2 linked regions of the Drosophila melanogaster genome follow. The protein of the gene in region 2 interacts with the protein of the main gene of each other region in a pairwise test. Each region holds a gene or a part of one and is shown on either strand. Other genes may lie near its edges.

Evidence for each region. Proteins that work in one complex are often made in the same cells at the same time.
Region 1: the proteins of Inx7 (region 2) and CG6933 interact in a two-hybrid assay, tested with the Drosophila melanogaster proteins (one large-scale study listed by BioGRID).

Annotation. Positions count from the first base shown.
Region 1 is NT_037436.4:20,217,977-20,221,977, forward strand, and holds CG6933 (uncharacterized protein), read right to left. Parts: upstream 2,445-4,001; 5' UTR 2,376-2,444; coding exon of another isoform or gene 2,369-2,375; intron 2,260-2,368; 5' UTR 2,128-2,259; coding exon 2,085-2,127; intron 1,688-2,084; coding exon 639-1,687; 3' UTR 526-638; downstream 1-525. Other genes in the region: CG17145 (uncharacterized protein), read left to right, coding at 3,876-3,882, 3,944-4,001.
Region 2 is NC_004354.4:6,991,089-6,995,226, forward strand, and holds Inx7 (innexin 7), read right to left. Parts: upstream 2,525-4,138; 5' UTR 2,326-2,524; coding exon 2,092-2,325; intron 1,795-2,091; coding exon 1,085-1,794; intron 1,015-1,084; coding exon 642-1,014; 3' UTR 524-641; downstream 1-523. UniProt on the Drosophila melanogaster protein: Structural components of the gap junctions.

The DNA of each region.
Region 1 (4,001 bases), on a different chromosome or scaffold from region 2:
CTGTCCTTTAGCTTGGTTCAACAGCGACTGACTGCCGCGCTCTCTGCAGAGTGGCGAGTCGATTAGTCGATAAGTTTCTCGATAATATTTGTATGTTAAGGATGGGTGTATGAGTGTATAAGCTTATGACTAGATTGGCTATGTATAATTAGGTATGTATGACTAAGAGTAAAGGAAGAGGGTAGAAGGAGCAGCCTACTACAATACTAGGCTTTGAAGTACTGAATTCAAAACAATATCTCAATGCTGACGTCAATCAAGTAACTTCTCCAGAAATTTCCCAAGCAATGGGGTTTTACTGTTCCACCTTCTTCTAATACAATAGATGGAGGCCATTGAATTTTTTTAATTAATTATTTAATTAACTTAGCTTGGCAGATAACATTTACAAATACCCATCCCGCAGAAATTATATTTATATTTTGAGGCACATTTTCTGTGAGCCTCTTTTTGAAAGATTTGCTACCAAAAAGGCGAACAACTAATCAACAATTTCAAAAACAACAACATTTAAAACAAATTTCGCTTGGTCGAAGTCAACATTTTTATTAGTTTCTTTTGAATGCCTTCAGCATTGGTATTTATTTATATATTTCATAAAAGGTATCTCGGCAAACAGACGTGGCTGGAGGAGATGCTCATGTACTAGCCGTCGAATTACAAATGGCGTAATCGGGAATTTTGGTGGTGCAGATATTGTTCACCTCGTCGTAGTACGGCGCATTGGTGGGACATGATCCGGTTATTCCGCTGGAGCAGATTGTGTAGTTCTTGCAACCCTCATCTGCCATGAATGGATTGTTAACGTTCCCACATCGGTTATGGGTACAGACAAAGGAGGCTGGCGAAACGCACTTGCCAGCATTGAATTGGGTACCGGTGGGACATTGGTTCCAATAGCCAGTGGCGTTTACTGCTGCACAGTAGTAGTACCCATAGCAGGTGACACCATCAGAAACGTACCTATAGTCAACAGATTCCCCATTTACAGTAAGTGGATCTGCTGCTTTAAAAGCTTCTTCGTCACAAGCAGTTGCATTTGTTTGCCCAACAGTGAACTGGTCAGAGTTTCCACTGTTTGAATCTTCGCCGGTGCACGGATTCGTCGACTGGCAGTTGCCAGTGGCTTTATTATAGTAGGGATTGGCGGTGCTGGAACATTTTTCGGAAGTGCCATAGCCGTTGACGCAGTTGATGTAGTTGCCGCACTGGTTCGGATCGCCTACAAAGATGTTGGACAACATGAACCGACAGATGGTGTCCTGCGGGCAGGCGGGTCCCCATATACATTTTGTGGAGGATGCCGAATAGACGCCGCCGGTGCCGCAATCGCCATAGGAGATTTGGCCTGTGCCATCGCAGTAGGCGTATTCGGTGCAGTTCAACGGATTGGCCACATACATGGGAGATTTGACGTTGGAGCATGTCTCAACGGCACTGGTGGAGCACACCGTGGTATTAGCGTAATCACAGCTGCCGGCCTGCGCGTTGAACACCAAGCCGTTGGGACAGGTGCCCCAGGCCACAACCTCCTGGTTCTTGCAGTATCCCCAGGCATGGCAGTTGCTCGGATTGCCGATGTATCCATAGCCCGACCACTGTTGGCACAGATCATCCATCGTGTAGCCGGTGGCCTGCGATGCCATTAGGAGACATGCGGCCACGACACAGATCCTCATATTGATTGCTAAATGGGGGATACAGGGGGATACGAACTATGAATTATTAAATAAAATATAGACATGTGTAATCGTCGAATAGTTTTCTATTTTGTTTGTACTTAATAATGCAAAGAAATTATGCTAGAAACGACAAAATTGATAGCTTTCAATCCAAAATTCGTGTTAGCGTCTCTAAAATTGGTTAAGCCTTTGTTGTAGCCAACACGGCAGCCCTTTTTTTGGATAAAAAATCAATTAAGGACGAAAGAAAAACTCAATTTGAGTAACAAATCGAAATTTGAAAGTCATTTTAGCCATTTTTGAAAGTCATCTCCTTTGCAGGAGAATTTCAGGGCCTTAAAACCATGTTTGAAACCACTTTTCAAAATTTAGTCGAAGCAAGACGTCTTGAATACTGTGCACCTGAGATAACTGTATCCGTTCTTCGAGCCAACGTACCTCCCATCTTGGAATGCTAATATTTTTCGGGGACAAATTCACTTGATAGACAGACGACCGAAGCGAACGTTCCGATTTCGTTACTAACTCAATCAATTGCAGCCTTTGCGTTTTTATAGTTGACAATTCGCGGCGCGAACTGGGTGGGTAATTAAAAAATTGTCAGCCAGATAAGCCAGCCGCCAGTAGGGCGTTAGTATCGAAATTAATGCTAGATAAGATTCTAAGGTCTGGGGTAAACCACGCACCTTGCATCCCTCCGAAGTTGTTGGGTTAGCTTGAAGGCGGTTCGAAGGCGTTGGACGACGAAAGTGAAACTAGCGGACCCGGCCAAAATGGACTGGCTTATAAGCTCAAATCGATTCTTGGCCAGCGGACACCATACATACTTAGTTTAGTATGTATATATAGTTTATATATATTTTTATACGTTGACAGCCGCGCCGGAATTTGGATTATCAGCTGCTGATTGCGAACCCTCTTTGTCTATAATTGTTTTTTAATTTCGAAGAAGCTCGAGGAGGCGGGAAAGTGTCACGGCTCTTATTGATCACTCAGTGGTGTTTCCCTGGTATCTCGGCACTCATTTCAGCAACACGACATTAGTTAGATATCTCAATTTGAATCGCACTGCGACTCTTGACTTGACTTGACTAGACTTTCCTCTGAAGGTTATCAGGTTCTGGGGAAAAATTACCGAACTACAAATGTTTATATTAATAACTTGTCCAAAAGAACCGTTTGAACTGAAATACAAAATAAATAAATCGCACTATGAAATTATGAAATTATGAGTTATATATATTTATTTATTTGTATGCATAATTAAATAGTACAATTATATGCAAGTATTTTGAAATTTTATTATCTATCTATATAATCTATAAAAATAATTGATGTTAATGTTTAATAACAAAAACCCCATTTTTTTAGTCAGTTTTATTTTCCGTTAAACTATTTTAAATCTATCCGCCTTATTTTATTGTTTCGCCTAAAAGCGAGTTTTGTCCGTTTAGAAATTCGCCCATAAGTATGCAATGACATTTAAACACTTTACTCGATACTTTTTCCAAATCACAAGGCATTTTCGAAGTAATTTAAATTCTTAAAAAATAGTTCAAGCTACGTGCTTATTTACTTTTTATATTTAATTGGTAGAGTACTAAAAATGTTTTTTTTTTTATAATAAAGAAGGGAAGCTCTCTATTAACCCACTAAGCCTTATGAATTAAACCAGCTGATCTTGCTCTTCATTTTATTACTATTTTTTGGCCGAAATGATAACTTATCTACTTCCTATTTAATTTACCGGTAGCCAATTGGCAATCTCCAACTTGTTTATAAAATCACCATTCACTACGACTAGAAATCACCCAGTACTTTAGCAACGAAAAATATAATTAATTTTTTCTGAAGTAAAATTTTATGAATGCTCCTTAAAAACATTAAATTTATAAATACAATTTTATCAAACATTCCCATTTTTTGTGCTCTATCATTTACCTTTTCAAAAATATTATATAGCAAATCCCTAAGCAAAATCAATACATTTGATTGTAATCTTCGAGCTTTTAACAAATGACTTCTATTCATCTTTATTTAACCCATCTTACCCAGTTGAATACCCCTCAAAAACCAATCCGCTTATCTTGCCAGCAAATAGTGATTGCTGCTTATCCTCTGATATTTATAAGTAATCGCAGGTCGACGTTCAGATTCAGTACGAGTTTATGCTTTGTCCAAAGTTGAGCTGTAATGGAAAGTGAGTGGATTGCAAACTGCCAGTGGTGTAAATCTAACTTTATTGTTTTTTCAAATTGCAGAATTTGGTGCCATACTGGGCGTGGCACTGGTGCTACTGCTTCAAGGCCTAGATGTGGT
Region 2 (4,138 bases):
TGACAGAGCGGCATGTGTAAATGTCTTAATGCAGCTGGAAGCGTTGACTTCAGAAGTTGAGTTCCTCCTATCTCTGGATGTTTTCGATGAAAACCACTTAAACTTCCCAAAACCATAGAAAATATATAAAACTTACAGTAGCAATAACTCACCTGGAGAACCGTCCGTAATCGGGGATACCGTCATGCACATCTATTGAAACTTCACAGTCAGATGGGAGGGTACAAACTGTGACCCAGCTCTGAACTGAACACTGCAGCTCAGTAACAAACACTTTCGAAACCACAACGGATCACTCGAACTGGGTCACCCAACCGCAGTCGCCACTCGACACAAACTGTCGGCCACGCCCACACGCCCCTCCGAAAGGTGTCTGGTCGGTTTTGGTTTTGTTGTGCTTTTTACCCACTTTTTTTTTCAAAATACCTCACACAAAATAACTGTTTTTCTGTCGGCCATTTTGAGAGATTTTGCTTTATGTGAGCCCCGAAAAAAACCTGTTGGATAAAGCTGAAAGCCGAGTCTCTTAATAATAAATATATTTATAATGAAATGATCATATATATATATAAAAAAAAAACAGGTGTAAACAAGACAAAGCTCCAATAATTAATTGCCTAGCGTTAATTGAAATGCATAAATTATACAGGTAACTTTGCCATATCCGAAGTCGATGGCCCTTGGGCTCCGCCGGCAGAGGGCGAGCCATTGCGTCGAAGGTGCAAGAGTGGTGAATCAATCGTATCCAGACCACTGAGCTCCGGATAACGGTTCTTAGCGGGCGTGGGCGGTGCCTCTCGATAGGCATTGACATCGTTATCGTGATCGGGATTGGGGAACTCACTAGCCAAATGATAGATAACCTTCTTGAATAGGAACTCCGAAAGGTTGGAGCGCAGGAAGAAAAGGAACATCCAGTTGGAAAAGTTACACTTATCAATTACCGCCAATAATTCGTTTTCGTCCAGTTGGCCAGGCTTGGCCCAATAGAGAGACCAGCGGGTAAATGTGACACTAATTAAAGTGGGTTAGAAGGGTTATCACATTATGAAAACATATTTCACACCTATATCCATCCACTCACTTTCTGTAGAAGCACAGGGTTAAAATTCTCCAAAGCAGTCCCAGAACAGTAACAATCAAAAGGAAGGCGTACCAGAACCACAGAATAATGTAGATCTTCTCGTTCATGATGTTCAGCGCCATCACGCAAAGGGCATCGTGCATTTGAATGGAGCCAGAGTCACCAAATTTGTGGAACTTGCACTTGGTAATCTTCGGGAATACTAGATCCAAAACGCTCAGCTCGTCGGACCACCGATTTTTCAGGGCATGTGGTCCCAGTGTGAGGAATTGACCGCCCAAAAAACGGTTGGTCCATGTGATCTGCAGCAGAAGATTAATCAGATTGAGCACCTCCGCGAAGACCAAGTGGGCACCCCACGATTGATTCAGCCGCATCCGGTCGATCATTGTGCGACGAATGTCCTTGACCCGCTCCTCCGCCTCCGCCATCGAGGGAATGTTCAGCTTGCCGATACGCAGACTATCGTTCTTCAGGTACCTCGTTAGACCCACCATTCGAAGGCCAAAGACCAGGGCCTTGATCCGGCCGCCCTCCCAACTCTTCCACAGGGCATGGGGAATGTAGAAGCAGAGAGCCTGGAAGAACAGGACAAAGGGCACCCACTGGTAGTATGCATGCCGCTTGATCGTGTCCTTTTCGGGATCGAATGCCCCTATACCAGGTGGCTCACTTCCCGGCCTGTAGGCAGTTTGGTTCTGGTCACGTACCTATTTGGGGTGCAAGCTATGTTAATAAATGATCTACTGCCGCCAAGGCACATAAATAAAATCTATTCTATCATTTGATCATTTCAGGAATGGGTATGTGGCAACATATATCAACCAACTAATAGCAATAAAACGACTCTAAATCGATTAACCCTATTTAAGTTTTAACCAATAATCAAATAGAGTATTGATAACAGTTGCTCTCAATAGATACTTCTGTGTACCCCGTACATAGATATTTTTTTTAATTCCCTGGTGACCTCTTATAATTTTCCCTTTGTGACCCCGCTGACTTACCACTGTGAAGGTGGGCGTGAAGAAGCAGAAGGTGTTGATGACCGGAGACACAACACCGTCGGATAGGCACTGGATGTGCTCCCCGATGTACTGGCGCGACGTGATCAGGAGGGTGGCCACTAGGAGTATTACGAAGGTCCATCGATAGTGCAGCTTGAACACTATATTGTCGATGACCACACGCGTGAGATCGAACTTGAGGTACTGCCTCACCGAACTGAAGGTGTTCAGCATTGTAACGCCTTCGTTATCTTCGGTTTTGGGTTAGGTTCTGGCCCCGATCCGATCCGATCCGATCCCACTTCTACTTCGTTCACTTTCTTACGATGATTACGACAACTATGGCTGGGTGGCAATTGGAAACGGGCTGGCTTCTGGGTTCGGATGGATTTGTGCGCTCCGCTTGCCGCGGCTAGCTCCTCGTAACTGCAAGGCTCGAGACTCTGCACTTGGTCTCCGGGTCTCGGAACCTTCGGTCTCCGGTCTCCGGTCCCCGTTCGCCGATCTTCATCACCATTCCACATTCGTCGGAGAGGGCTTTCTGGCGCCTTATCGACCGCTCATTTTTGGCCAGGAGAGTCGCCCGGGCCCGATAAGATAACTTCGTCGGGCAGAAATACACGGAAATGCCGAATCAGCAATGGTATTGTGTTTAGTTCAGAGTTGTCCAAGAAAAGAGTAAGGGAAATATGAGAACCTACTGGAGTGCGCTACACTTAGCAGGACTTACGTAGACTATTGGACTATGAGAAAAAAAAAAGAAATTTTTTTCAGCTTCTGACTCGCAGTATAAGCTGAGAGAGGGGCACAATCTTTGTCACTTAGGTTTCAGTCTAAAATGTTAGCAATTTAATTCTTTCAGTGTAGGGCTCTCTTGATACCCAAGAAAACTCCGAAGTTTTTCGGTCATATTTCAAATTTCGCCCAAACATGAGTACTTCGGCATGTATTCGGCTCGTGGCTTCATAAGAATCCGAAAATGATAAGACGAAAGTCACAGAAAGAGCGAAAGAAATTATGAAAATAATACTCATTTTCTCAGGGTTTACCTCATCGGTAAGTTGGCTAAATCTCGCCCTGGTGGGTGGGTGAGTAACTTCCCACCCATCGAAATTCATCCAAGATCCAAGAGCAAAGAGGCCAAGATAACCAAGCAAACAATCATAGGAAATATGAATCAGTGCGGGAAAATATATATGTACATATATGACTCAAGAGATTCAGGATATCAGCAAATTAGTTACACTTCCAAAAACATAGCAAAAATCCCTTAGTGATGCAAGAAATGATCACTTGGTTTTAAGAATAACCATAGAGACTTGCATTGAAATCATTCAAGTGTGGAATTGCAAATTCCGCCGTAATCTGGAACTCTCCGGGTCTTAAAGCGTGCCGCTATCGCCACCCATATTGATTCAATACTGCCTATTCTGATGGATGGGACAGTAATTGGATAAGCGGACATATATCGGCTTGGCGTTATCGTATTGACCCAGATCAGTGCTAGACAGAGGGCTATGTACATACTTACTGAGACTCTTCTTCTTAAGATGGATTATTGCTCGGCTGTTTGCCTTTTTGGCGATATCGTTGCAAGGTTCCACGCAAGGCAATCAGGTGGATATTCACCCTGCGCACTATTGTATTTCATTCTTTGGCCCCGACAATCTTATCTTCCAGTCAATCCCCAGAAAAGACAACGAGTGACTGGCTTACTTACTTTCTAGAATGTAACGGAATTCCAACAGAGATTCGCACTATCAGCTCATAAGTATCTACATATATCTGTTGCTTATCTAAATAGCTCGCCTAGGCATTGTATTTTGGTGCTTATTACTTAAGCGCTCAAGTGGCCGCTCCAAAACTTTGCCGGATAAGATAGTCAAAAATGGCCCCTTTACATACGTACATATAACATTTATAAGTCGTGCGTAACTAGAGACCAGTTAACTATATTAGTAATTGCAACATTTTTAGCCGGTTGACTGCTCGAATTTACCTCTACTTGGGTTTCCCAGGAAATTGCTATGATTACGGCTACTACTTT